Caenorhabditis elegans: one gene and its partners. The gene in region 2 interacts genetically with the main gene of each other region. Each region holds a gene or a part of one and is shown on either strand. Other genes may lie near its edges.

Region 1 (9,765 bases), 290 kb from region 2:
TAATGTGGAGACGGAGATGAGAACGATCCATCAGACGGTGGTGGTGTCAGATGATTTGTTTCGCGAGACGATGCTGCACTTGTTGGCGTTTTTCGAGATCCTGCTCTTTTGATATTCTTCACAGTTTGTCGCCCAGACTTAGCACCATGACCTGACTTGACTATTTGCTGTCGCATGATATCATTACGATGCCGTTCGTTTGCCACTTGGCGAAGAAAAGCCGCAAGTTCATGATGGTAGCTGGCTTCAGCAACTTGAGCAGCAGTCATGTCCATTGAATCGACTATACCCAAACTAGCATCATTAAGAGCCAAATATTGCACCGTCTTTTCACATCCTTCCTTAGCGGCAAGCATTATCGGTGTTCTTCCGTCTTCGTCCTGTTTGTCCTTATTAGAGCTTCGTCGGACCAGCATTATTACCATTTCCTCGTTATCGTGCATCGCTGCGTAATGAAGAGCTGTTCGTCCTTTATACTTGTTGGAATCTTTTCTAGCAGCACCATCGTAATCAAGTTTTGCTCCTTTTGAAAGAAGAAGCTCTGCCATCTCCACTTGATGTTTTCCGAGTTCACGTGCTACTAGCATCAATGCAGTCATACCATTCCGGTCCAATTCATCAATTTCTTTGAGAAGACGTTTATCAGTGAGAAGATGCCGCAGAATACGCAGATCCTTGTTGACAACAGCCTCATGAAGGGCACTTCGCTCCGAATTATTGAATATTGTTGGATTAGCTCCTTCACGAAGAAGCACTACGGAAAGTCTGACACGGTGTGCACGAACAGCTAGCATCAGAGCAGTATTCTCATCACAATCTCTTGCATTCACATCGGCTCCAGCCTTCAAGCATCGAATTGCCTCTGTTGTAATGACATCTTCCGGTTTTCCTCTGACATTGGCAGCAAGCCAGTGCAGAACTCGTCGTCTATACTTTGAATCCACTTGATTGACTGACTCATTTGTGATTGGAGCTGTAATCGCATCTGGTCCTGCAGCTTGAACATGGAGAGGGCTGAAAGAAACATAACAATAATTATAATAAAACTATAAAGATTCACTCACATTTCGTCGGCTGGTAGATCAGCTGGTGCGAACGTCTCAGATTGAAAGTCAAAGTTCAATTCGTTGTAATCACCGGGATATCCATTTGCGAGAGTTTGTGGATAAATCTGTGAATATTGTTCTCCATTGTAGCCGGTACTATAATCGCTACAGTGTCTCTTGGTATTGGGGTGATAGTAGGCAGAATTGTCAAGAAGAGAGCACTGACTCGAATGATTTGACTGATTCCGACGACCTTTCTCGTTCGTTGATTCCATCGGAGGCATCCAGACTGTTGCGTTCACCATTTTTCTTTTTCTACTTCTTTCTGGACCATTCTTTGCGATAACACCAGCGACAACAGTTCCAAAAGCCAAAAATGCAATACATGCAAACAGAATAACTTGACTGCGAGACCATCCTTCATCGATTTCGTTTCTCTTTGGAACAGCTACCATTGCTTCCGTAATTGGGAGACCCAGAGACATACGACCCTGAAAATGTTTTAATTATTATTTTCCATAACTCAAACAATTAAAGGTTCACCGCTTTTTGGCTCGAAATATACTATAAAATTTTTCTAATTTTTAAAAATTATATTTGGTCATTTTATCACCATAAAAATAGATTTTAAGCCCCACCAGTGCTGGGACTTTTTGATATTTTGACGAAAAATTGTTTTTTTGGTTTTGGATTCAAAAACTAATTTTCTGTACTTCAAACATTTTTTTATGTTTTACAAATATTTTTAGCAAAACGCGGATGATTTTCTTCTAAAAAGTGAAAAGTGAACCGGAAATCTACCTTTTTGGATTTTTCACAAATTTAATTTTTTTTGTTATTTCGGTCCAAATTATTTTGTTTCCAGCCCGGTGCCGTACTCCACATAAAAATAACTTACATCAGACTTCACAAGTCCAGCAGCAATCAAATCAACGACACTTTGCGCTGTTGAAAATCGGCAAAACTCGGGTTTACATATTTCTTCGACTTCCAAATACAAGACAATTCCAGTGACAACAGCTTGCCGATACCTGCGAACGTGATGCGAAAGTACAAATTGATCTTCGAGCTTGCTACTATTCATCTCAACTCTTTCCATTTCATGTTCACCATCCCATCTGAATACAAGAGGTCCAAGTTCATCCCGTTGAATACGTACGGTTGCTCGAAGATTTGCACTGATTTGCATTAGTGTTTCTCCTCCGGTAGCTTGGAATTCAATAGGATCAATTTGAACTTTTATACGAATATCACTGAGGATTATTGCTTCTGTTCCGTTATTGCAATCTCCACCGTCAAAACCACATCCAATGAAACTGCATTCTAAATTACAAACTCCATCGCCTCGTCTTTCAATACAATGTTTCCGAATATGAGCTGGGCATCGAAATAACTCTGATTGACAGTCCAATCCATCGTAAAGACATTCTTCATTATTGCATTCCTGATTACAGACTCCATTTGCGAATTGATCAGCACATCTTGCAGGGTATTGACATTTGGAGAATGGTCTTTGCCCTCCTGAGCAATCACCTCCATCAAAATTACATTCTTCCAAATTGCATTCCGGGTTGCAAATACCATTGGAAGCAAGATCCATACACTTTCGTTGCTCGCATAGATCACGAATGACACTGAAATGTTCACATTTAATACCTTGAATACAAATTTTGAAGGAATTTTATCTTCATCGTCATTATACTCCAAGTGGCTCAAAAAAATAATTCCAAATAAATCATGGCAGTTCAAATCTTGGAAAAAGACAGCCTTATTTTAGCTAAAGAAATTTTATTTAACACCTTCCCCGTGTCACACAAACCGAAGCTGGCAAAATTAGAGATTTGAGCTAAAATTAGGTATTTATTTCATTGAAACCGCTTTTTACTTCAATAAATTATTTTTCTGGGCTGCATTCTTTATAGTATCCAAGAAAACTAACGTCTCTTTTGATTTCTCGATAACTAGAACTTCTTCACAAGTGGGTCCAGTGTATCCATATTGGCATTCGCAATATCCAGTATTCTTACAAACTCCTCCGTTCTTGCATGGATGTCTGGAGCATAACTGTCTATCCTTTATTTCGCAGTAATCTCCAGAGAATCCGTTGGGGCAGTTACATCTGATAACGCCATTCACACCTTCACAAGTACCTCCGTTAGCACATGTAGTTGGAGTGCACACTGAAGTTTGTTGATATTAAGAATGCTGCCTAGTAATCTTGAGCTAAAAATACGGTATCAGGTCTCGCCACGACAAAAATTTTGTTAAATGCGAAAAAATGTGCGCTCCTAAAGAGTACTGTAGTTTAAAAACTCTCCTTGCTCCGGGATTGCCATTGATTTTTCAAAATTTAAGTCTGTGTAGTCTATGTAGATTTGATGTTAAAAAGCTGAAAAATTGATGAAAATTTCACCGTTTGAAACTACAGTACTCTTTAAAGGCGCGTTTGTCGTATATAAAAATAAAATTTTCGAACTTACACAAATGTTGCTCGCAGTTCAATCCATAGAATCCAAGCGGACAATGACATGAATATCCACTGTTTTTGAGATCGATACAAGTCGCATTATTCACACACGGATTGTATTTGCATGACTGAATATCTGGGAACTTGAAATCTTTCCTATTAATCTCACATCGATCTCCAATATAATCAGGTTCACAGACACAGAAACCATTTATACATCTTCCATCGTTGTAACACGTTCCATTGCTCCGAGAGCAGTGTGGTCTCTGTAGTGGAAGATCACAATGAATTCCCCCGAATCCTGAAGGACACTCAATCTCACATCGTTGTCCAGTGAATCCTTGTTCGCAATAACAAATTGGCATCTGATTCGAGTCATGGGCACAGTATCCATCATTTTGGCAAACGTAATCCTTGCACATGTCGATAGCCTCCTCGCAATACTTTCCAGCGTATCCAGGTTTACAGGTACAAGTAAAATCACCGTGCAAATTGAAACATGTAGAGTTGTTAACACACGTTTCTTCGATGAGGCATTCGTTTTTATCCTTATTGCAAAATTCTCCCTCGTATCCCGAGTCGCATACACATCTGAAGTTCTTGTCTTCATCTCTGTTCGGAATACATCTTCCATGATTGCAAATGTTTCCCATCAAAGCACATTCAGTTCGTTCACAATATCGACCGGATTTTCCAATTGGGCAATCACAGTAATAGTTGTATACACTATTGACACACGTTGAACCTTCTGCGCATTCATTTTGAGCACAATGATCGATTCCTTCTTCACAATACGATCCTCCATATCCATTGTTGCATATGCACTGAAATCCACCATAGAATGGATAGCAGAGTCCGTTGTTGCAAGGATCCGAATCGCATGGATTTACTCCCGAAAATAGAGGAGTTTTGCAGTCAGGACCTGAAAATATTAATGTATTAATCACGGATAGGCCTTTGTCTTCTTTTTAAAAAAAGTGGAATTTAAATTCAAATTCCGGCGGAAGTTTGTTTTTCCTAATAGCCATTCACACCTCATTACCCCCAACCGCCGATTATTTCCTTTGAGATGAGAAAGGTGTCAATCTCATTACGGTAAAATAGAGAAAAAGAACACGCAATATTTTGATTTATTTGAGATCAAATCGGTTCCGACAACAGATGGAAAAAGTTATCACAGTGGGAGACTTGGATCTCGCGCATTTCTTATTAGAATATGTTAAATTAAATTAAATATATTTAATTTATTTTTTACTATATTTTTTAAAATCTGATAATTTCATTGGTCCTTTGTGTTTTCGAAAAATATAAAATTGAAAAAAAAACAATTTTGCAACTTTTTAAAAATTAAAATAGCTGTCAATTGTTGCTCAAAACAACAATAATTGTGATACAAAGTCATTGACTATTAGTAATCATACATTATCCAAACTTTACTCACCTCCATAGCCTTCTTCACAGCCTTTTTGAGTACGTTCTGTTGGAGGAGTCTCGTCTTCGCAATCTGAATAATAAAACTTATAAATATTTTCTCATGGCTGTCTGTGTAACAACATCTGCTTGATTTATACTACTGCCCCCGCGCAATGAAACCGAACATTTGCAATAAATCGCATGACAAAGGCGATGAAGATGTGCGAATATGACCTAGTAGAAGCTATCTATCACTAGCGGTCATTTTGAGAGCGTAGAAATGAAAAATAGGATACCACGAATGCGGTACAATTTGTCAATGTTGGGATCTCCCGGGAGAATTATTATACGTATGGTCGCGTGTTTTCCCTAATAAGTTTTCGAAATTTTGATATATCCTGAAACAAAAAATTGCGTACAAGTCGGGCACAATCAAAGAAAAATACACTCGCAGTGTGATGATGGATGATGTGGTGAAAAAGATTGCCGCTATGAAAAAGGGCAGATGAAGAAAAAGGTGGAAGTAAAACATGGAACAAAATTTTGAATTTGAAACGTTTAAAATCTTAAAATGATTGATTAGAATACACTTGAATCGAGATAAAGTATTTATCAAACTATGCAAAAAGGCGATAATTTGATTTAAAGATTTGAGAAGTCCCATTATGAAAATAGGTCGTTTCGGGCAAAATATTATGATATTTAACAGATTTTAGGATTCACAAAATTACCTTGACAGATACACGTCGGATTTTCACCATAAACATCGTAGATGCACTTCTCGCCTCGTTTACAATCCAAATCGCATTCACGTTCACAGAAAGCACCTCCGAATCCTTTTTTGCAACTGTAAATTTGATTAAATTATTTTTAAACTGAAAAGTAATTCAATTGAGACAATTTATGACTGTGGGCCAGTGGTGGGTGACAATCAATAAATTACAGTATTTTTAATCAAAAATCGTGGCAAAATATATCGATTTACTTGAAAATAACAATTTTTCAGCTGATATATTCGTGAAAGTGATCAGAAAACAAATCTCGATAATTCACTCAACAACTTTCAGACAATTTTGGACCATTTTCTCACATTTTTAAGCTGAAATAAGTGTTATTTTCAGATAAATCGAGCGATTTTATGTATTTTAGAGCATCATGGCGCAATTTTCCTATCGATAAATACGTTGATACTCTCTGTATAACTAATCAAACGAGCTAGATAGTAATAAGAAAAGACAAGATTAAAGAACCGACACGCTAATCCAATTGTTTTATGAACGTCCATATAAATTCGCCGACAACCCTGGGAAGATGGCTGTAAACGGCTGTAAATTTTGCCTTTGGAACTCAAAGTTATTGATAAGAAAAATGAATTGTTTGTAGAGAAAAGGGAAAACTAAATAACAATTTTTTAGATTTCCCGAACGATTTACGAGATTTTACATTGTGACAGCCTCCTGCTGTTCATTGTGTTCCCATTCTGCAAGCCGGGTGGCGTTTAATGATGTCTTAGAGGGAAATATGGACAGTGATAATTCAACTTTCGGATATTATTCAAAATGTTCTCTACACCAAGCTTTTGTTTATCTATCGCCTGTTTCCCACCACCACCACCTGCCCAAACTTTCTTTTTTTTGTTCTTTTCGTCACGGTTCATGAGAAAGCGGATGAATAACATTGACATGGGAGAATGAAATATATGCTTACCGGCACCAGTATGTCTCAATCAGTTTTCCATTATAGCATTTTCCATTGACGGAGCAAGCACCTTCCCTTCCGCATTCTCCACCCATAAGTTGACTGGCGATTGGCGCAAAAAACGCGAGTAAAATTAGAAGAACTCGCATTGTTGTGTTCGCTGTTCGAGATTCTGTTATTATTAGTTGTTAGAGCAGCTCTTGGTGTTATTGTACATGAATCTGAAAGAAAATATGAATTAAATCAAGAGATGCGGTTAAGCGAAAAAAAAGAACACTTCAGCATTATCACAAAAGTACAAAAAAAGAACGGAGAACAGGAAAAAAACGAAAATGGAGAAGACAAGGAGCGACGAATGAAGGCCGGGTGGCATACTCCGCCCATTTTCTGAGTGTGTTGCGATTGTCTTGACACCTGAGATGGGCGGTCCAAAAAGAAGGATAACAGTACTTTTTTCGAATAGGAACACTAGAAAAAGAACTGTTAGGATAAATCGGAAAACTCATTGATTACATTATTTTATTGCCTATCCGACAGCTGCATGTTGGTTGCGAAATGTGGAGAAAACAACCAATTTATGGCCTTTCAATTGATCATTCCCGTGAAGAAGAAGTGGGGAAAACGATTTACATAAGAAAGTGAACGAAAAACTTTGTTAGAACGATAAACGGAGATTTGTTTGCAATGATTTACTTGGAACCTATTTTACGCCGTTTTCAAGCGATGAATATTCCGAAAATAATGTGATGGAGCTAAATAAACTTATTACGATCTCATTTAAAATATTAGAAATACAGAAAAATGTTCTTATCGTGTCAAAAAAAGAAAAAAAAACAAAGAAAATCATTTTAAAACTCAAAATAAATTTTGGCGCCGTGCACAGCTCGGAAGTCCGCAATTGACGACCGTACCCCTTCGCTTACCGTAGTTCTGATATTTGCTTATCTTTTTTAAATATTATTCTCAAAAACACACACAAAACTTATCTGAAGATTAAAAATACGAAAAACTGTATTCATGTTTGAATAGAAAAAAATCTACAGTATGTCTGTAAACATTATTTCAATATTCAGTCAATTCTGGAATAAACAAATTTGCTCTGCTTCTGGAAATGTTTATACAAAGAAAAAGCGTTATTGTCGGCATACAATACGGAATATAAAGGAAAACGGAAAAAGAAAACCGAAGTGCTAAATCGATAGTGATCACATAGGCGGTTTCAGAATAATCCACGTTTTCGTGCAGCAAGTCGTCCATTGTTCTCGAATTTGAACCTTCCTAAATCAGTCCGTGTTCTAATTTCCCGTACCTGGCCACATATGAACACAAATTATATTGGTAGAACATATGGAAACAAGGTACACGTGTAGTTATTGTCCGATAAAATGATAGTTTTATGACTCATAGGAAATTTGAATCTAGGAAGATTCCACGCAAAACTGTTGGTCAGATGCAATTTTTCACGATTTTTCGAAAAGATGTGCGCCTTTATGGAGTACAGTAATCCATTTCGCAATTTTCTTTGAGTTTTTCACTATATTTCTCTCGTTCACAAAGATTTTGATGGATTATATTAAATTTCTCGTTTTTGGGAGAAAAAAGTAAAAATCAAAGGCAATTTCAAAAAAAAAACCGGAAAATGGTTACTGTGCTTCTTAAAGGCGCACACCTTTCCGTCAATTTAAAATATTATGTTCGTGGCGAGATACGGGGCATACCGTATTTCTGCGTGGGAAATTGCAAAATTTTGTCAAAAAAAAATTTCTTCCAAAATAAGTTGAAAACTCTCACTGGACCGGACGTACAAAACTACATGTTTCTCCCAAAACATTGTTAATGTTGTTTCTCATACTCGAGGTTACCTAGGTATTCAAAACATTTGTACTGAAGAAAAAACATTCAGCATTCGGAAGATAAACTATAAGGTCATGTGAGAAAAGAGAAAAAGTATTGGGGATTCTGAATGTTTCCATAAAATGGGTTTTGTACAGCACAAGGAGTTAGGATTAATTTTACAACTTTAATTGAATTTTTAAGCAGTTGTGGATATTTTCAAATTCTTAAGTTTTCTGATTTATACCTTTTACTTATACGGAACTTGCTAGAATTAGCCAGGTGGCTGAAAATTTTGGTACCACCTTATAAGGTCCTAATGCCTAAAAGATAAATGAAGAGTTGCTGAGAGTAATTGGTGTATCAAATTGGGCTATAGAACATATGTTTATTAAAAATTGAACGGTACGGTATTGAATTTTGAAGATAATTTTTTTTCTGAATTTAATATTTTCTTAACATCTTAAATTCGATTTATCAAATTGACATTTTGAATATTCTGAAAGTTAAATATTTAATGGCTATGAGAAAATTATTATTAATTAGTAGATAGAATACGATTGCGTACCGGAAGGACCTTAGCACAAGTGACGTGGTTATCTAACTGGCTAGTTAGATAACCACGTCACTTGCCTAGGTTCCCATGACTTGGAAAGTTCATGACCGGATAAATTTCAGACAGGAAGACGTGCATGTTATTCTAATTAGTCACTGCTGTCAATTATATGATTCAGGTGTTCAAGTATAATGGTGTGAGAAAATATTGCATGTACTTGTAATCAATGCAAGTACATATTATGTTGTACTTGTATAAATTAGAACGAATTCATAGGGAACATAGAGGTGGAATACAGCATTTAATTGTATATTGTATATTTTGCTGACAACTTATGGAACGGCTTTAGAAGGATATCTGCTGTGCATATATCAAAATTCTAATGAAATGACAAAAACTCTAATTTGAACGCCCGCGTTTTGTCGGGTACGAGACTCCGATATCCCGCGTGCGCCCAGTTTAGTCAAGTTTTTGCTCGGTGTTTTTTTCTTATCATCAACTTTGCAAATAAGTTTTTCCCCTTTATTTTTTACGATTTCAACGATTTTTAGTTCGAAAAATGTGCGAAAATTATTATTGCAATCTTAATAATCTTCTTACTTGCCGAATTCGTCAGAATTTGCCCATTGAACGCTGATTTTTCGAGTTGGACAGTCTTTTATTCCAAATCGATGTTTTTCATAGCTTTTAATTGCAGTAATGTTCCGTCACGTGGCTCAAAATTTGGGCTCAAGAAACACATCCATTCAGTC
Region 2 (7,158 bases):
ACACATCTATGCGCGTAGAGACACGTACACACACAAAGCCTTCAGTCACAAAAATGAGAAACACACAGCAGCAGTCGCAGCCACAGCATCGCCGTCTCGGGGCCAGGCAGAGGACACCGATCATTCACCAGTCATCGAATCGACACGGCAATAGAAAGAGGGTGGAAACAAGTGAGAGCGCGGCGACACGACAAGGATGCCTAAGGCATCATTTGATCGGAAGAGTGATCAGACATGCAGACAAACATCGAAGAGTCCTCCGATCGGATGATTGCAACGGGAAAAACGAAGGGAGTGCAATCAACAGAGGCGACAGGGGTAACAAGTGAAGGATAGGAAGCGAGTAAAACCACTACCAGCACTCCGAAAAAACGAAAACTTGTGTGTGTGTGTGTGCCTGTGCGGAGGAGGAGGTGGAGAGAGAAAACGAATCGAATCGGCGACGATCCTGCGAAGGACATCAACGACGACGCGACGACAATGGCCACCGCCGGTCGACCCAGCGCCTGGGCGCCCACTTCTCCTCCTTTGCCTGCATTTGATCAGTACGATACAAAAATGTCTACCGGGTTGAGAGGTGCGCGGAAGTAAGACAACAATGAAGGATCCCATGATTGATAGACTTAGAAGTTGAAGATATTCGGAGAAGTGTAGAGACCAGCTAAAGGGAGACTTAGATATTGAAAAGAGACGGAACAAAACATTGCTCAGTGTTTTGGAAAAGTTTGTGCTGAATTTTGAAAAAAAAAACAAAAATTTGCAGCGTCCTCATTAGTAAAAAGAACTAATAAAGATTATTAGACTTTTTCAAAAAAAACTAAAGGGTTTTATGATATTTGTTACCGTTTAATTTAAATTAGGTGAATTAGAATAACATCAAAAATTTGACAACCCCCGAGAACAATCAAGACATTCAACTTAGTTGGAAACAGGCGAAGATCGTCTTAAGGTGAGGCAGGCAGGCGGTGAGGCCTATATGATAGGCCTACTTTCAAGATCAAAAGTTTAATTTAGATTTAGAAATAATTCTGTGAATGTACCAAAATGTAAAACAAAAATGTTAAATGACAAAGTCTAGAAAAAAAAAAAAAAGAACATAGAACTACTTCAGGGAGACGGAAGAGAAAATGAGTGAATGTCTCTCTTTGGCGACAAAAAAACTCCATTGACGGAAGACGATGAGAAAGGTGACATCAAACACAACGAGAAGAGGAAAGTAGGTGAGAGAGTGAGTAGAGACGTAGAGAGTTAAGCAAAAACCGTAACAAGTGAGAAAGTGGGGAGATGCAAGGATGATGTAGCAGGAAAATGTAGAGTATGACGTGGCGACGACTATATTCAAATCTATCGAGTATTCGTCGAAGAAGAACCAAATGAAGCACAAGAGAATGATGTTGCCTCACTATGTGCGTGTGTATGTATGTGTGCGTACGGACGGAGAAAACGAAAAAGCAGGACAAAGCGAGGAATACGACGATGACGATAAAGAGGAAAATAAGAAGCGCAGACGAAACAACGGCCGCCGGGGGCCACCCGAGAAAAAGAAGTCCAGAAGGGGCGGCGAAGAGCAGACGCAGAGAATCATCTAAGCTTATGAAATTGAGAGAGAGAGAGACACTCTATGCACGTCTCTTTCTCTTCCAAACTCGCTTGGCCCGACAGCAATTTGTTCCTTTTTGTGTCTATGTCTCTCCGAGTTCTTCGTCTATCTCTCTCAGTGCCCCCCCCCCCCCCGAGCACTATTTGTCGTTGTCACACTCAGTCAGCCATCCATCCAGCCAGCCGTTGGCCCAACCCATTTCATTTCGTCTAAACGTCTGTACTCTCTTCTCTCGTCTATTCCATCTTCTCAAGTGTGTTGTGTTGAATGGATGGTGTGTGTATGTGTATGTGGAAGCACGCGGACCTCCTTCGACAATGTCTCCCTCTCTCTCTCAACCTCTCTTTCGGTTTCTTTTTCTCAGGATAAAGAGATTTTAGACGCAGATATGAAAACAGGACGGAGGACGTCTCTTTCTCCATCTCTATCTCTTTCACTCTAAGAGTGAAGCGCAATGGCTGTGTTGCTATTCCAGGGTCCCAATGCTGTGACTCAGAAATAGAGTATCCTGAGAAGAGATGCAGAGAAGAAGCGGGCACACACGATTGTATTCATATTTTTACTTCTCTGAATCTCTAATACTCCGTACAATCTCTAGTTTTTCAAGAGACAGGTGTCTATCCACCTGGTCTATCAAGCATCGGACCTTCACAGCACCAGTATGACTAGGGATTAAATATTTGAAATTGATGGGTACTGTAGTTCTATTTTTATTTTCACTTCTATGAAAAACCAAGTGATAATCTGGCCTGATTTTCTTAAAATATTAAGAAATCGATTTTAATACTTTTTTCTCAATTTTTAGCGCATAAATCTTCAATAAACATACCGCTTTCTTCAAATGATTTTCACAATAACCACAATACTTGACATTCCGACTTATTGCCCCTTCTTCACATAAAAGTCCTTTCCGCTGAGCACAGGTTACGTGAAAGCTCCTCTGAAAATTTCGTTTAAATTACAAGAAATTTAAAGAAAAATAAAAATACCTTGCACGTCGACTTGTTACACGACATACATGCACCTTTTTTCGCATCATTTGGACGTTCTTCATTGCAGATGTAGCACAGTTTATTGAATCTATAAAATATATAAATTGATCGAGATAGTAATAAAACTTCAAGATTTTTTCAAAGAAAGAGTTTAAAATGTTTAGATTTTTTGTTGTTGTTTTTTTTTTGAAAGTCGAAAAATCGAAAAACTGGAAAAAAAATTTCGGTTCAGAAATGTACCGGAAATTTTTAAAATTTGAGATTTTCCAGAGAGTCAAAAAATCGAAAGTCGAAAACTCAAAAAATATTCACCCTTGATCAGACACATTTTTCATATTGAATTACCCATATTCTTGAGAAAAACTTACTTATCAGTTGGTACATCATTTAATATGACTGGTTCCATACTATGTACGTTCCCAAATCGCACTTCTGGAATGTAAAGTGCACAAATTACATGAGCCCATCCGTTTCGATCAGTTTTTTTCAATGCTCCATAGTCAAACGGACACAATTGACAACAAAATGTTGCCTCATTTATACTGCCGGGCATCATAGCTGATGCTTTCGTACATTTTGCACAAAACCATTCGCCTTCGGGTACTTCTTGAATTCCATAACATCCTGAAATGATAAAAATTCGGTGGGGCCTAATCGGAAAATTTGGTTTTTTGAGAGAAAATCGAAAAAAAAAAATCAAATTCATCTAATAAGATGGAAAAAAGCAAAACTTCAAACAATGCTTGGAAACGTTGGATTTTTTTTCGAAATATCGGGAAAAATACTAAAATTTTTCAATTTCTGTGAACTTCTACTCACCCTGATGTACTGCAACTTCACAATTCTCTCCATCACAATAGATCAATGGATTGTCTGTCCAACCATTCTCATCTGCACAAACGCAGCATCCACCTACCATCTCCTTCATTTTTCAGCAATTTCGGGGGACTCTGTAAAAATAATTATCCATTTGAGAATACAATTCACAAATTTTCCACAAAAATTCGAAAAAACTTACGATAATTTTTTTTGGGTTACTGTAGCTGGTCAAGAGGTCAGGCGTGGCTCATTTGTATGGTGATGTGCTGTAAAAATTCGGTAAAAATTACGCAGAAAAGGGGAGATTAGAGGTATATTGCCGTAAATTATTGATTTATTATGGCCGAGCGACAAATAAAGAAACAGAACAAATAGAAATAACCTAATTTCGGAGAAAAAAGAACGTTTAACAATTATCTATAATTGAATGCGTATCAAAAATAGTATTAAAGTTTCATAGAGATATTTAAATATTAGATTCGGAAAACAAAATAAATTGAAGAATGTTTTGCTTTATAAAATACACTAAAAATCCATTTGAAAATATCAAATATCAAATTACGAAACTCTTCAGAAATTCATTGAAAAATCTTTTATGGCCATTCAAAATTTTGCATAAAGGCTAATTCTTCAAAATTTAGAATTTTAGGTAAAACTGCTATAAAAAAGTTTGAGGAATTATTGAAAAGTTTCGTTATGAATTTCGGACTTTTCGGGCCAATTTGAGTGAACAAATTTTTCATTGAAAATTTAACGCCGAGCATTAGATATTTTTCTCTCAATTTTTGAAATAAAAGAAAATGGAACTGTACAAAATTTCGTCACAAAAGACAAACGGCAGCAGTCAATCAATACGACGAATAGAGGTCATTCAAAGACAAAAAATTTTTGCAGCGTCTCTCTTTTCTCTCTCCTTCTTATTATCGGGGAGCGGCCATCGATTCGATTTTCGATTCAGTCAAGTCAAAAAAGTTATGGGCGTGAATGAATGAATATACATTTAATAGTGATAATCAAATTGAGAGAACGACAGAGAATTACAGATTGTGTATGGAAGAAAAGGAAGAAGAAGAAATACACTGATAACGACGACATCGTCAGTGTCTTTCTCTCTCTCTCTCTATCTCTCTCTCGTCACCAAACCACCATCACAATCTTCCCGATTTGAAGTCTTTGACAATGAGAGAGTATTAGACACAGACAACTAGTAGCCTACAGTAGGAGAGACCGACATCACGTTCTCGTTTGGAAGAGAGGGAGAAGCAATCGAGAAGAAGAAGAAAAAGGAGGTGAAGATAGACACATACAACTTGGCATCGTGCCAAGCATGCATGAATTCTCACAGGGGCGCAGCGACGTCGGCTCTTCTATGTCACATGCACACAAGGAGCACATACATACAAACAAGAAGGGGAAGCTTTGCTCCTTTTCTCTCTAACTTTCTGCGTTCCAGTGCTTTATTTCATATAGCCGTATGTTTTAATAAAATTAGTTGAAAAGAAAATAATATACGGATCGGAAAATATAAAAATTTAAATGAAAAGAGTCATTTGGATGCTTAAAAAATCGTCCAAGGGCGAAATAAAGTTAATAAACTTTTATATTTTTCTCTAAACCTCGCCTAACATTTTCTACCACATAACCTTATAAAAATTAACATTGTATTGTCATTGAAAAATTAAATATTGAAAATTAACGGTCAAGGTGATAAATATAAATGGAAAAGTAATCAGTATCATCATAGACACAGATGTGATCGGATATACTTCGGGTATCGAGAAAAGAAAATTTACGATGGGGTACTTGCATAACACAAGAAAATCTCTACAGAGGGGTCACGAAGGATTACGATAGTCAAGAAATCATTTTATTGATTTTTTAAAACCACTTGGGGAACAGTTATAAATTTAATTTAACTAATGGTTATTGTGTGAAATAAAAATTTCTACAGAAAATTAACATCTTTAACAAAAAGTTTTTAAAATTAAAAAAAAAAATTTAAGAAGCAAGAGAATTTATTAATAGAACTTCACTGGTTTTTAAACATTTTTCAAGGCTAAAAATTCTTTTTTGATGAATCAAAAATAAATAAATAAATTTTATCGAGGATTTGTTTTCTAAATTTGACTATAAAAATTAATAATGAAAAACCATAGAAATTATATTAATTTTCCGACAATTTCCTCACTGAAGATATCTAAAAGGTGTTCATAATGACAATAAGTGTCAGAGACCAGAAAAAATTGGGTCGTCAGACTGACGATAGTAGCCGAAAGGAACAGAAAATCGGCACAAATGTCTCGGACAGCGACAACACGGTTTGTCTTTTTCTTTGTGGGGCGACAAGGCGCTGAGCACCTGACACTTGACCCATCACATATCGATCGGATTTAGACCGAATAAAGCCTCGAACAACATCGACAAAACGAGAAATGAGAATGACGACGACGTCCGTGGAAGGAAAAAAGTGGAAAAACAGAAGGAAAAACAAGACTTGACTGGGAAAAGCGAGAAGTAGATGGAGAGGCGAAAAACAAGTGTAACTTTTGATTGAGTGTGTCCCAGCTGTGGTTGAGAGTATGGATAGATGCAGACTGACTGCTGAATGCATACATACACGCGACGAGGCAAAAAGAACAGAACAGAGAGGAGAAGAGGAGGACGAGGACGAAGACGGGATGCAGCAGACCCTAGTGGGGGTCTCTCTACTACCATAGCTTCTCTATGTCTCTCATGCGAACCCCTCTTCGCGTTTCTCTATTTCTCTAACACCTCTTCAGGCTGTTCTATTTCTCTTTTGTCGTCGGGTCGCACTCGCGTATGTCCGATGTGACCGGCTATTCAACTGGCGAGGGATACGGAGACGTAGATTACTTTCGCGTCTGATCCCTCCGACTATCTATCCATCTCCCTCCCACTTCCAACACACAGCCACACACACCTCAAAAGAATCCGTCTTTCCCTCTTGGGGTCGTCTTTTCTTCATCGATTGGACATAGTAAGAGTGTTAGACTTAGAATGTAGAGGAAACTCGCGGTGTTCGATGAGCAAAAGCAGTGGGAGCAGATCCTGCTCACTTTCTCACCAACATCGTCTCTGAGTGTTGTTCATCTGGGGACCAGCGTTTCCTTTTTGAGGGTCTTTCAGTTGAAACATATTGTATTCAGTAATATTTTGAATATTCGTTTCGTTATGTGCTCTCTTAATTCGAATTAAACTTTCAGAAAATCTATTCTATTGTAAAAATGAAAAGCAGATAATTAATAAGAAATATTTCCTTTCGATTCTCTCTGATTCTTATGTTCATGTCTACATTGTATAGGAATTGACAAAAAAGATTCACTGTTTGTGGCAATTCACCAAAAAAAATCGACTTTTTCAACAGCAATTTCCAATGTTCGACGTGCCGTTTATTATATAAACGCAGGACTCAAAACTGATAAGAATTATTTTTAAAAATGACTCATATTCCTGGAAACGTACAAACTTTCAAGGTTATTGAATACATTAACGCCTATTGTTTGGTTGTTTGGGCGAGAAGAGGAGGATGTGTCTGCGTAAACAAAACATCATCAAAATGAAGGGGGCAAAATGGTTGTCTGTGGTGGGTGGAATCGAAATCGAAAAGAAAGTCGAAATGGAGTACGGTATCCTGTCCCGAATGTTTGTATTTGAAATCGAAGCGCGCACACCACTATTTGTCTGCGTCTCTACTCTCTTGCATGTCTCTCACACTCGCGCGCGCGC
Region 3 (8,038 bases), on a different chromosome or scaffold from region 2:
CTCGTAATTTCCATTTCTAGTCTCCCGGAGCTCAGTGATTCTTGGATCAACGCCAGCGATATTCAACGTGGAATTATCAGTAGAAACCATTGCGAGAATATGTGATTGAAGACAGGAAATCGATTGAATCAAAGATCCATCAATTGGATTCCAAAAAGTGACAGTTCCACGAGAATCTCCACACGCTAACAGTGAAGGTTTGACGAAGAGAACAGACCAGGCAATTGTTGGATCACGACGGTTGAGACGATCCAGTTTCAGAGTCTGTTGAACTTTTCCGTCGCCAGCAATAATTACACCATCGATTGATCCAATTGCGACGATGGTTCCATTACTTGAAACATCGAAAAGTCGACTTTCAACTCCCAGAGATATCGATGAAATTATCATCTTCGTCGAGACATCGAAGAAATAAAGAACAGAAGAGTGCGAAATCATTGCAATTGTGTTCTCCGTATGCTTACAAGCCGCCCAAATCGTTGACGCCGAAATTTGAATTCTCTTGATTCTTTCAATATTGTGTGGATCGATGAAACACACTGAACCATTTGCATGTGAAGACATCAGTTCTCCATTATCAACGAATAGAAGGTGCTCAATTGAGCCATTTTCTGGGCATACGGTGAGTTCTGGAATTGCAAGCCAGCTGCTAAGGATGTTGTAGAATTCGATGTAGTCGTGGGTTTCCGAGGATCTGAAATATTTAGTTATATGTATTGATTTATGATGATTTTAGGGGAAGTAGAGTCAATTTTTTTTTGCTTCAAATGACAGAAAATATACCCTATTAACCGAATATAACTGTAATTTTTTTTTAATGTTCTAAATTTTTTAATGATTTTTTTCAATTCTTCAATAATCAAATAAACGGCCAAATTAAATTTGAATTCCCGCGCAAATGAGTGATGCGTTTTCTGAATTTTTCGGTTTTTCTTGATTTTTCGTTCAATATTTGATTTATTTGATTTAAACCCTGTTTTTCAAAATTTGAAACCCTTTTCCAAATAAAATATATAAATAACTATTAAATTGTGGAATTTTAGGCAAATTTGAAAATTTCCGCCAATTTCTCCAAGGTTATCAAGTTTTATTCACGGAAAAGTACCTGAAAATTTGAGAAACAGAGTTTAAAACTAAATATGTGTAAGAAAAATCAAGAAAAACCAAAGAATTTAGCCAGAAAACGCGAGAATATAAACAAATTACGTCACTTATTTTCGCGGGAATTCAATTTTTGAAAAATTGAAAAATCATAAAAAATTTAGAACATTTTTTCAGTTATAATCGGTTATTTGGGTATATTTTCTGTCATTTTAAGCAAAAAATTTGTTTTGACTCTACTCCACCTTTAATTTTTAATTTCAAAAATCATTTTTTCCAATAAATCCTCCGTACAAACCTAGATTTCCTCACAATTGCCATTTTTCCACTATTCTCATCGATGGCAATGTGTCGAGCCGTCCGGCTTATCATTCCGCATCGGATTTTCTGCTTTTCAAGGCAGATACTCATCTGGAAATTTTTCGTTTAAATTGTCTGAAATTTTTTTTTTGAAAAAATATAGGAAAAAGGAACCGAAGAACCAAAAAAAAGATACGTATAACATTAGATAGTAGGAAGTATAAAATTACATTTATAATATAAATATATTGAAAGTATCAAAAATTAAATTTAAAACCATGAATAATAATTCCCAGTGGATATATTCAGCAGATTATGTGTAAAAAATGCAAAAATACGAGAAGATAAATTAATTACAAATCGGTATCGTACCAATTGTGATTAGGGCGCATTTGTGAGTTGTTCAACGCCATATTAATGGATTCCGAGTGTCCGCCGTCGTTTGTCGGATACATTTCAGCGAAAAGCTCTCGTTCCAGCCCATCACGTTGCCAATCCGCAGCACTTCCACTCATCTCGTAGTCGTACGACTGAAAATTCGGAATTAATTCATGAATGGCTCGCTCGAAAATCGGAAATTTATGTTGAAATTTTTTTTTCTATTTTTCGAAAAAAAGCTGAAAATTTGAACTATTTTCCTTGTTTTTAGAACAAAATTATATGGTTTTTCTCATCAACATTTGTCCATATGGACAATATTTCATTAAAACATTGAATTTTTAAAAAACTTTGAGGCCCCACGGATTCAAGATCCGGTGGGATTCTAGATCTACCATTTCCGGATCACCGTGCCAACACATAGAACACATTTTTTCAACGATCCGGAATCCCACAATATCTTAAATCCGTGGTGGCTCAAAAGTTTTCTTTCGATTTTTCGGTTTTTTTACGGAAAATTTATTTTTTTTCCTAATTCCTCACATTAGACATATTCATGATGGCAGCTGAATCTCCTCTCTTCAAATTACTCAACACTCCATTCGCATAAGTGACGACTGATTTGTACTGTGAGCCACGAGATTCCATTAAAAGAGCACTAACTCCAGTACTCTCAACAGCACGGGCTCCGTCTGGCCGCTTGCTCAACTGATAGAGAAGCCCAAGAATCTCGCGTTCGAGAACTTCATCATCCATGGATCCGAGTCTCGGATGAGCCAGAAGACGATGGAGAAGATCCAAGAATGGTGGACATTCTGGATTTCCGACTTGTCCAATATCATCACAGCATGCTGCAGCGACTGCCGGATGATTCGCGAGCTGATGAAGAGCCGAGACAGCTCCTTCGATGACTCCCCACATTGGAACTCCATCTACAGCAATATCAGGATTCTCCTCAATCGCCGTGATAGCTCTTCTCAAGATATCCATTGTCAGTGACACAGCTGTATGCCCATTTGCAGTTTGTTCTTGTGTCAACTCGATAAGATTTGTTTGAAGAAGTGCACTATTTCTAATAACTCCGAGAGCTGCCTTGATAACTGGAGTACGAAGAGTTTCCAGCTGATCCAAAATCACTGGGAATGCTTGACAGAATCTCAGCTCACTTTGAGCTTCTTCAGCCAGTGAGTGCCTGGCAGTACAGTGCCGAAGAGCACAGAGAGCCGGTTCGGTGACTTCTTCAACTTCAGGTAGTCGGCGGATCGCGGTGACGAGAGCATCGATTCCCCCGTGAGAACACACGGTTTGCTTGTTTCTAGTGTTATTGCAGGTGAGATTGCTCAATGTTCCACACGCGCAGGCAGTCATTCCATCGTTGGCGACACGAATGATTTCGAGAAGCTTGATGATCAGTTGAGTGAGATTTTCCTCGTTTGTCGCAGAATCCGACAGATTTCTCATCGCCACTAGAATCGCCGTCTGGGATCGCTCGTCTTTTGCGGTGCAGAGCTCCACGTAGAGAGCAGGAAGGCAGCCTAGAAAAAATTAATATTGAAAAGTTTAAATTTCTGAACTTTTTTATTGGAAAATTCTCAAAAAACGCGCAATTTCAAAGTAATTTCCTGCTGAAAGAGGGTAAAATTGGAGGTTTCAGCGAAACTTTGAACCACCGGAACAAAAATTTTGAAATTTGTTGGAATTTCGTGAAAGATAAAGGAAAATGTTTAAAAATTGCTTCAAAACACTCGAAATAGCTGCGAATTTCAAGTATTTTCAGCTAAAAATCTCAAATTTCCAGCTTTTCAGTGGATAAAAACCTGAAAATATCTCTAAAAATGCGATATAAAATAGTTTTTAATCAAAACATCCATGTACCAAGACTGATCAACGCCGGTTTGTTGCTCGGACAAACGGACAGGGATCGAATGCAACGGACGACGGTATAGATGAGCTTCCGATGATCCGAGTACTCGCGAAGAATCGAAACCAAGATCTGTGGTCCCAACAGTGATAGGAATGTGATCTTCGATGGAGCATCGTCTGCAAAATTGACCGATTTTTGAAATTTTAGAGTGGAAAATTTGAATTTATAGCTTTAAAAAATGCAAATTTGTACAAAATTCTTGATTTTTCCAGTGAATCCTTACCGATCAACAGGAAATACAACCCATCCGCCACTTGAGCCAGCAGCTTCGGATTCGTCTTATGAAGGTGCGGAGTTAGCGCCTCAACGGCGTTGAGAGCTCTCGCTTGAGCTCTGGAATCAGAAACATGCATCAGAAGGTTCCGAAGTGTTGTCACAGCATAGTGAACAACTGATTCCAGTGAATCATAGAGCATTCGAATGATTTCAGCAAGCCCTCCGCTTCTGAAGATCAGAAGAGGTCCTCCACGTTGCTCAGACATGTGAGACAATGCTCCAATCGCATTCCGACGGACATTCACGTTGGAACTCTTCGACGCAGCCATCAGAGCTTCCACAAAAGATCGATGATCGAATCCCGGCGCATTGAAGAAGTTCGGATCTTCCCTTGAGAGCATATAAGCTCGATGAACAGCTCTAGCAACCACTGACTCATCATGATCGCACATAAGCTTCACTAGATCCGGAAGCGAGAGTCCTGACATATCGTTTGATCCTTCGTAGGTTAGAAGATCCATAACTGATTGCTTCAGCTGTTGAGTTGGCATTTGCATCATTTCGACGATGCTTGTAGTTGAATTTGTGGCTTCTGCAGCAGAAGTTGGTGGAATCCAGTCGGGGAACATCGCTGAGCGGATTCTAGAGGTTCGAGTTTCGACTTCATGGTCTGGAAATTAATTTAAATGAAGAAATTTCGAAAAAATTGTATTTTTTTGTGTTTTACCAGTGAATATCGAATAAGAGTTGGTAGAGTGAAGAAGCATGGTTGTTGGGAGTTCACAGCTACTGAAAATTATACTTTTTAAAGGAAATGGTGAGTTTTAGACGAGAAAATGCAAAGAAATTCGATATTTTAGGTGCTGAAACTATCAAATTTCATGTGGGAGCAGAGAAAAGTCATTTTAAACAGGAAAAATCCACAAAAACTAAGATTTTTTTAAAATTAAATTTAAATTTAATAAATTTATTTCGAGTGGAAAAGTGCGAAAAATCGAAATTTAGAGTAGAAAATTTAAAAAAAAATAGGATTTCTAGTTGAAAATTGAGGAATAATCGCATTTTTCGAATCAGATACTAGCTAAAAAGGAATTTTTACTTTTATGGCTATTTTGAAAAACATTCCACTATTTTGATACTGCAATCGTCAAAATACGAGGTTTCAGGTAGAAAATCGAGAAAAATCGCATTTTTTGAATCGGAAACTAGCTGAAAACGCAAAATAAAGATTATCACTTGGAATTTGTGCTTCTGTGGCGATTTTAAAGGAAAATTATTCTATTTTTGGTGTTGCAACTGTCAAAATACGTGGTTTCAGGTAGAAAATTTAGAAAAATGGGTTTTTTCGAATCGGAAACTAGATGAAAACGCAAAAACAAGATTTTCACTAGGACTTTGGATTTTTAAGGATATTTTATACCGATAAATTCCTCTATTTTTGGTACCGCAACCGTCCAAATATGAGAATAATCGCATTTTTCGAATCTGAAACTGCCGAATAGATAATTAGAGCTGGTTAAAACAGCTTAAAAACACATAAAAATCAAGAATACGAGGATTTAAAAACCAGTGTGAAACGATTTATATGCCTGTGCGGTGATAATACCAGAAAGAGATCTCAAAAAAAACGAGAAACAGGAGAAAAAAGAAAATATTGAGATAACAAAGAAGAAACCGTAGTACTTTAATACATTTTTTTTCGAGATTTTCCGAGATAATCCGAGAATTCCTTCCATCACCAGAGGGAAGTTTTGACGAATGAAGTGATCGAACTGAACCATCCGCCCTCTTGACCACTTCCATGGGCAGCCATCTCATTAGTTATCACACAACTTGCCGGATCCACGTGAAGCACATCATCATCCAAATATTCGGGGTAATCTTTCGAGTTTTCCGTGATTTTGCCCATCTCTGACGCGTAAAACTCGAATTTCTCGTCGATTCCGTTCACTTTCACTAACTGCGCGACGTACTCGAATCCGGCGGCGGCGAAAACGGACTGCGCAATGTCCTTGGCTTCGATTGTCGGGATTGTGCGGAGCACGGCGCGTGGAATTGAGTTCTGCTCGGTTATATATACACTGATTACTCCTTTTTTCTTCAGAAGGCCTCTCTCAACTGACAGCTTCTTCGTTTCATCGAATTCCTCCGCATCGAATTCCATAATAATCTGCTTTGACTTTCTTCCAACGAATTTTCGGTGAAGAGTTCCGCCCTTGTCGAGCTCTTTGATCGCATCGGCTAGAGGCTCTTTCTCGGCTCTTTTGGCATCCAGCGAATTCTTCACTACTCGAATCCTACTCGAGACAAGGACCAAGTTATAGTTGACACTGGGATTTGTGATATTTTCGCAGGCTTCCGACAATGCTGGAAGTAAATCTGCGGATTTCAGCAGTTGCTCGATGTTCCCCGACTGCTCTGTGAGCAAAACGAGGATTTTAACCGTGTATCTGATGACATCGGAGCTTTCGTCCTTGAGGAGCGTTGGGAGAGTGTGGAAAAATGTTTTGTCCTGGAAGAAATTTAATTTTCATGTGAATCCTGAGTGAGCTAACGACTTACCTTAAGCACGACTGCTCGATTCTCCGGCTTTTGGCACAGCTTGTAGTACGCGCGAATCGTTTTTATTTTGTCGGCATTTACGACTTCAGTCATTCTGAAATAAAAACCTTGATTTTTAACGAAAATTTCGATTTTGAACGACAAACTTTAACGCAAACAACCAGAATAGCGATGAAATACTCAATTCTAAATGTGAAAAACAAAAAGTGGATAAAAATCGATAAATTGAGGGGAAAAGAGAAAATGGAAACAAAAGAAAATGTGGGCGGAGTCACACGATGAGGCATACCGCAAGTGGTGCGCACACATTTTGCAAAGGGCTCGCACACAGTTTTCCTTCTCAATAATTATTACTCGCCATTTGGGACGCGAAGTCTATGCCAAAAAAAATTTAACGCATCATGCACATTTTGAGGGAAAAAAATAAATTACGAAAATAGTATTATGTAAAATATGAAAAAAAAAAAGAAAACAAATTCCACCCTAAAATTTTCGCCATTTTCAATTTTTTGAAGCTGCAGCCTGAAAACTAAAAGATACCGAGTGGGAAAGTGGAAACATTGCCGTTTTTGAATATGAAACAAACATTTCAGCGAAGATACATTACAAACCCTTTTAAAACAACATAGGAAAACCAATAATCACAGAAACATCAATCAAAAATGCGAAAAAAATATGAAAAATCGGTATTTGGCTGAAAAAAAAAATTTTCAATCGAAAACTTGCTAAGCCAATGAAACTGAATACAATGTTGGGATTAAATAATATAAGGAGAGATAACGAGATATATATATATATATATATATAATTTACGAAATAGGTATTGTAACAGTAAAAAAAAAGGAAATTTTCATGTCTTCTTCGGTTGCATTTGTTTCAAGCTTCTCTCCTGATAACTGATGTGACGCCAGAAGCTGCTGGAAGTGCTGCTGGAAGGTTTATTATCCTCATCTTCAAAATGTTCTTCCAGAGCTAGTGGTGCCATCTTTTCCGGTTTATCATCAATTCTCTTCAACGTCGGGATTCTTTTGAAAAAATAAGTTGCAAAAGATCGGGCAACTCGAAAATGCAACTCGAAAAGGCAACTCGAAAAGCAACTCGAAAATTATCCGACAGCTTCAGATGCGTGAGCGATTTCAGCGACAGCAAAGGAAATGTGCAGTTCATTGTAAGAAAGTTGTTCCGCAGGTCGAGATGTTCCACATTTACAACTTGTTTAACCAAAATTCTCGTACATTCCTTGATATTGTTGTTTGAAAGGCCGAGAACTGTGCAATTCGGCAGGTAAGGAAAATTGCGGAGACTGTTCAAGCAATGGTCCCGGGCAGTGAATTTCTGGAAAAGAAAACAAATTTCAAAATTTGATCAACCAAGACATACCTTAATACCTTCCAGATTGATCGATCGGAAGATTTCAAGATTAAAACAGAATCCGCTCACATCCAATGTGTCCGGGCGGACTTCAAGCAATCTGTTCACGGTAATTACATCCAATACTGAAAACTTTTCTCATCAGGCTATTACGGTTTTCACACCTACCAGACATATCTTGTACCG

The links.
Region 1: of zfp-1 (region 2) and glp-1, a change in one rescues a mutant of the other (synthetic rescue), as found in Caenorhabditis elegans (one study listed by BioGRID).
Region 3: of zfp-1 (region 2) and hmp-2, a change in one rescues a mutant of the other (synthetic rescue), as found in Caenorhabditis elegans (one study listed by BioGRID).

Annotation. Positions count from the first base shown.
Region 1 is NC_003281.10:9,089,321-9,099,085, reverse strand, and holds the start of glp-1 (glp-1/Notch intracellular domain), read right to left. Parts: upstream 6,846-9,765; 5' UTR 6,774-6,845; coding exon 6,634-6,773; intron 5,774-6,633; coding exon 5,658-5,773; intron 5,018-5,657; coding exon 4,955-5,017; intron 4,436-4,954; coding exon 3,527-4,435; intron 3,227-3,526; coding exon 2,986-3,226; intron 2,681-2,985; coding exon 1,945-2,680; intron 1,538-1,944; coding exon 1,065-1,537; intron 1,015-1,064; coding exon 1-1,014. Other genes in the region: mccc-2 (putative methylcrotonoyl-CoA carboxylase beta chain, mitochondrial), read left to right, coding at 9,713-9,765; mrpl-44 (Large ribosomal subunit protein mL44), read left to right, coding at 9,713-9,765. UniProt on the Caenorhabditis elegans protein: Essential signaling protein which has a major role in germline and embryonic development; involved in cell fate decisions that require cell-cell interactions. Probable membrane-bound receptor for putative ligands lag-2 and apx-1.
Region 2 is NC_003281.10:8,794,917-8,802,074, reverse strand, and holds the start of zfp-1 (Zinc finger protein zfp-1), read right to left. Parts: upstream 3,678-7,158; 5' UTR 3,611-3,677; intron 3,543-3,610; 5' UTR 3,521-3,542; coding exon 3,412-3,520; intron 3,217-3,411; coding exon 2,961-3,216; intron 2,681-2,960; coding exon 2,590-2,680; intron 2,543-2,589; exon of another isoform or gene 2,541-2,542; coding exon 2,430-2,540; intron 1,590-2,429; coding exon of another isoform or gene 1,374-1,589; intron 1-1,373. Other genes in the region: F54F2.6 (uncharacterized protein), read left to right, coding at 1,374-1,589. UniProt on the Caenorhabditis elegans protein: Recruits the histone methyltransferase dot-1.1 to chromatin to methylate 'Lys-79' of histone H3 and activate transcription. Recognizes and binds histone H3 methylated at 'Lys-4' (H3K4me) at the promoters of target genes.
Region 3 is NC_003279.8:14,736,239-14,744,276, reverse strand, and holds hmp-2 (Armadillo/beta-catenin-like repeat protein), read right to left. Parts: upstream 5,396-8,038; coding exon 5,340-5,395; intron 4,709-5,339; coding exon 4,647-4,708; intron 4,590-4,646; coding exon 3,927-4,589; intron 3,820-3,926; coding exon 3,655-3,819; intron 3,315-3,654; coding exon 2,323-3,314; intron 1,932-2,322; coding exon 1,755-1,931; 3' UTR 1,621-1,754; downstream 1-1,620. Other genes in the region: K05C4.5 (WD_REPEATS_REGION domain-containing protein), read right to left, coding at 1-694, 1,400-1,512; K05C4.7 (Armadillo repeat-containing protein 1), read right to left, coding at 5,655-6,431, 6,482-6,574; K05C4.4 (Leucine Rich repeat-containing domain protein), read right to left, coding at 7,493-7,816, 7,862-7,977, 8,021-8,038. UniProt on the Caenorhabditis elegans protein: Required for cell migration during body enclosure and cell shape changes during body elongation. Plays a role in recruitment of the cadherin protein hmr-1 to adherens junctions.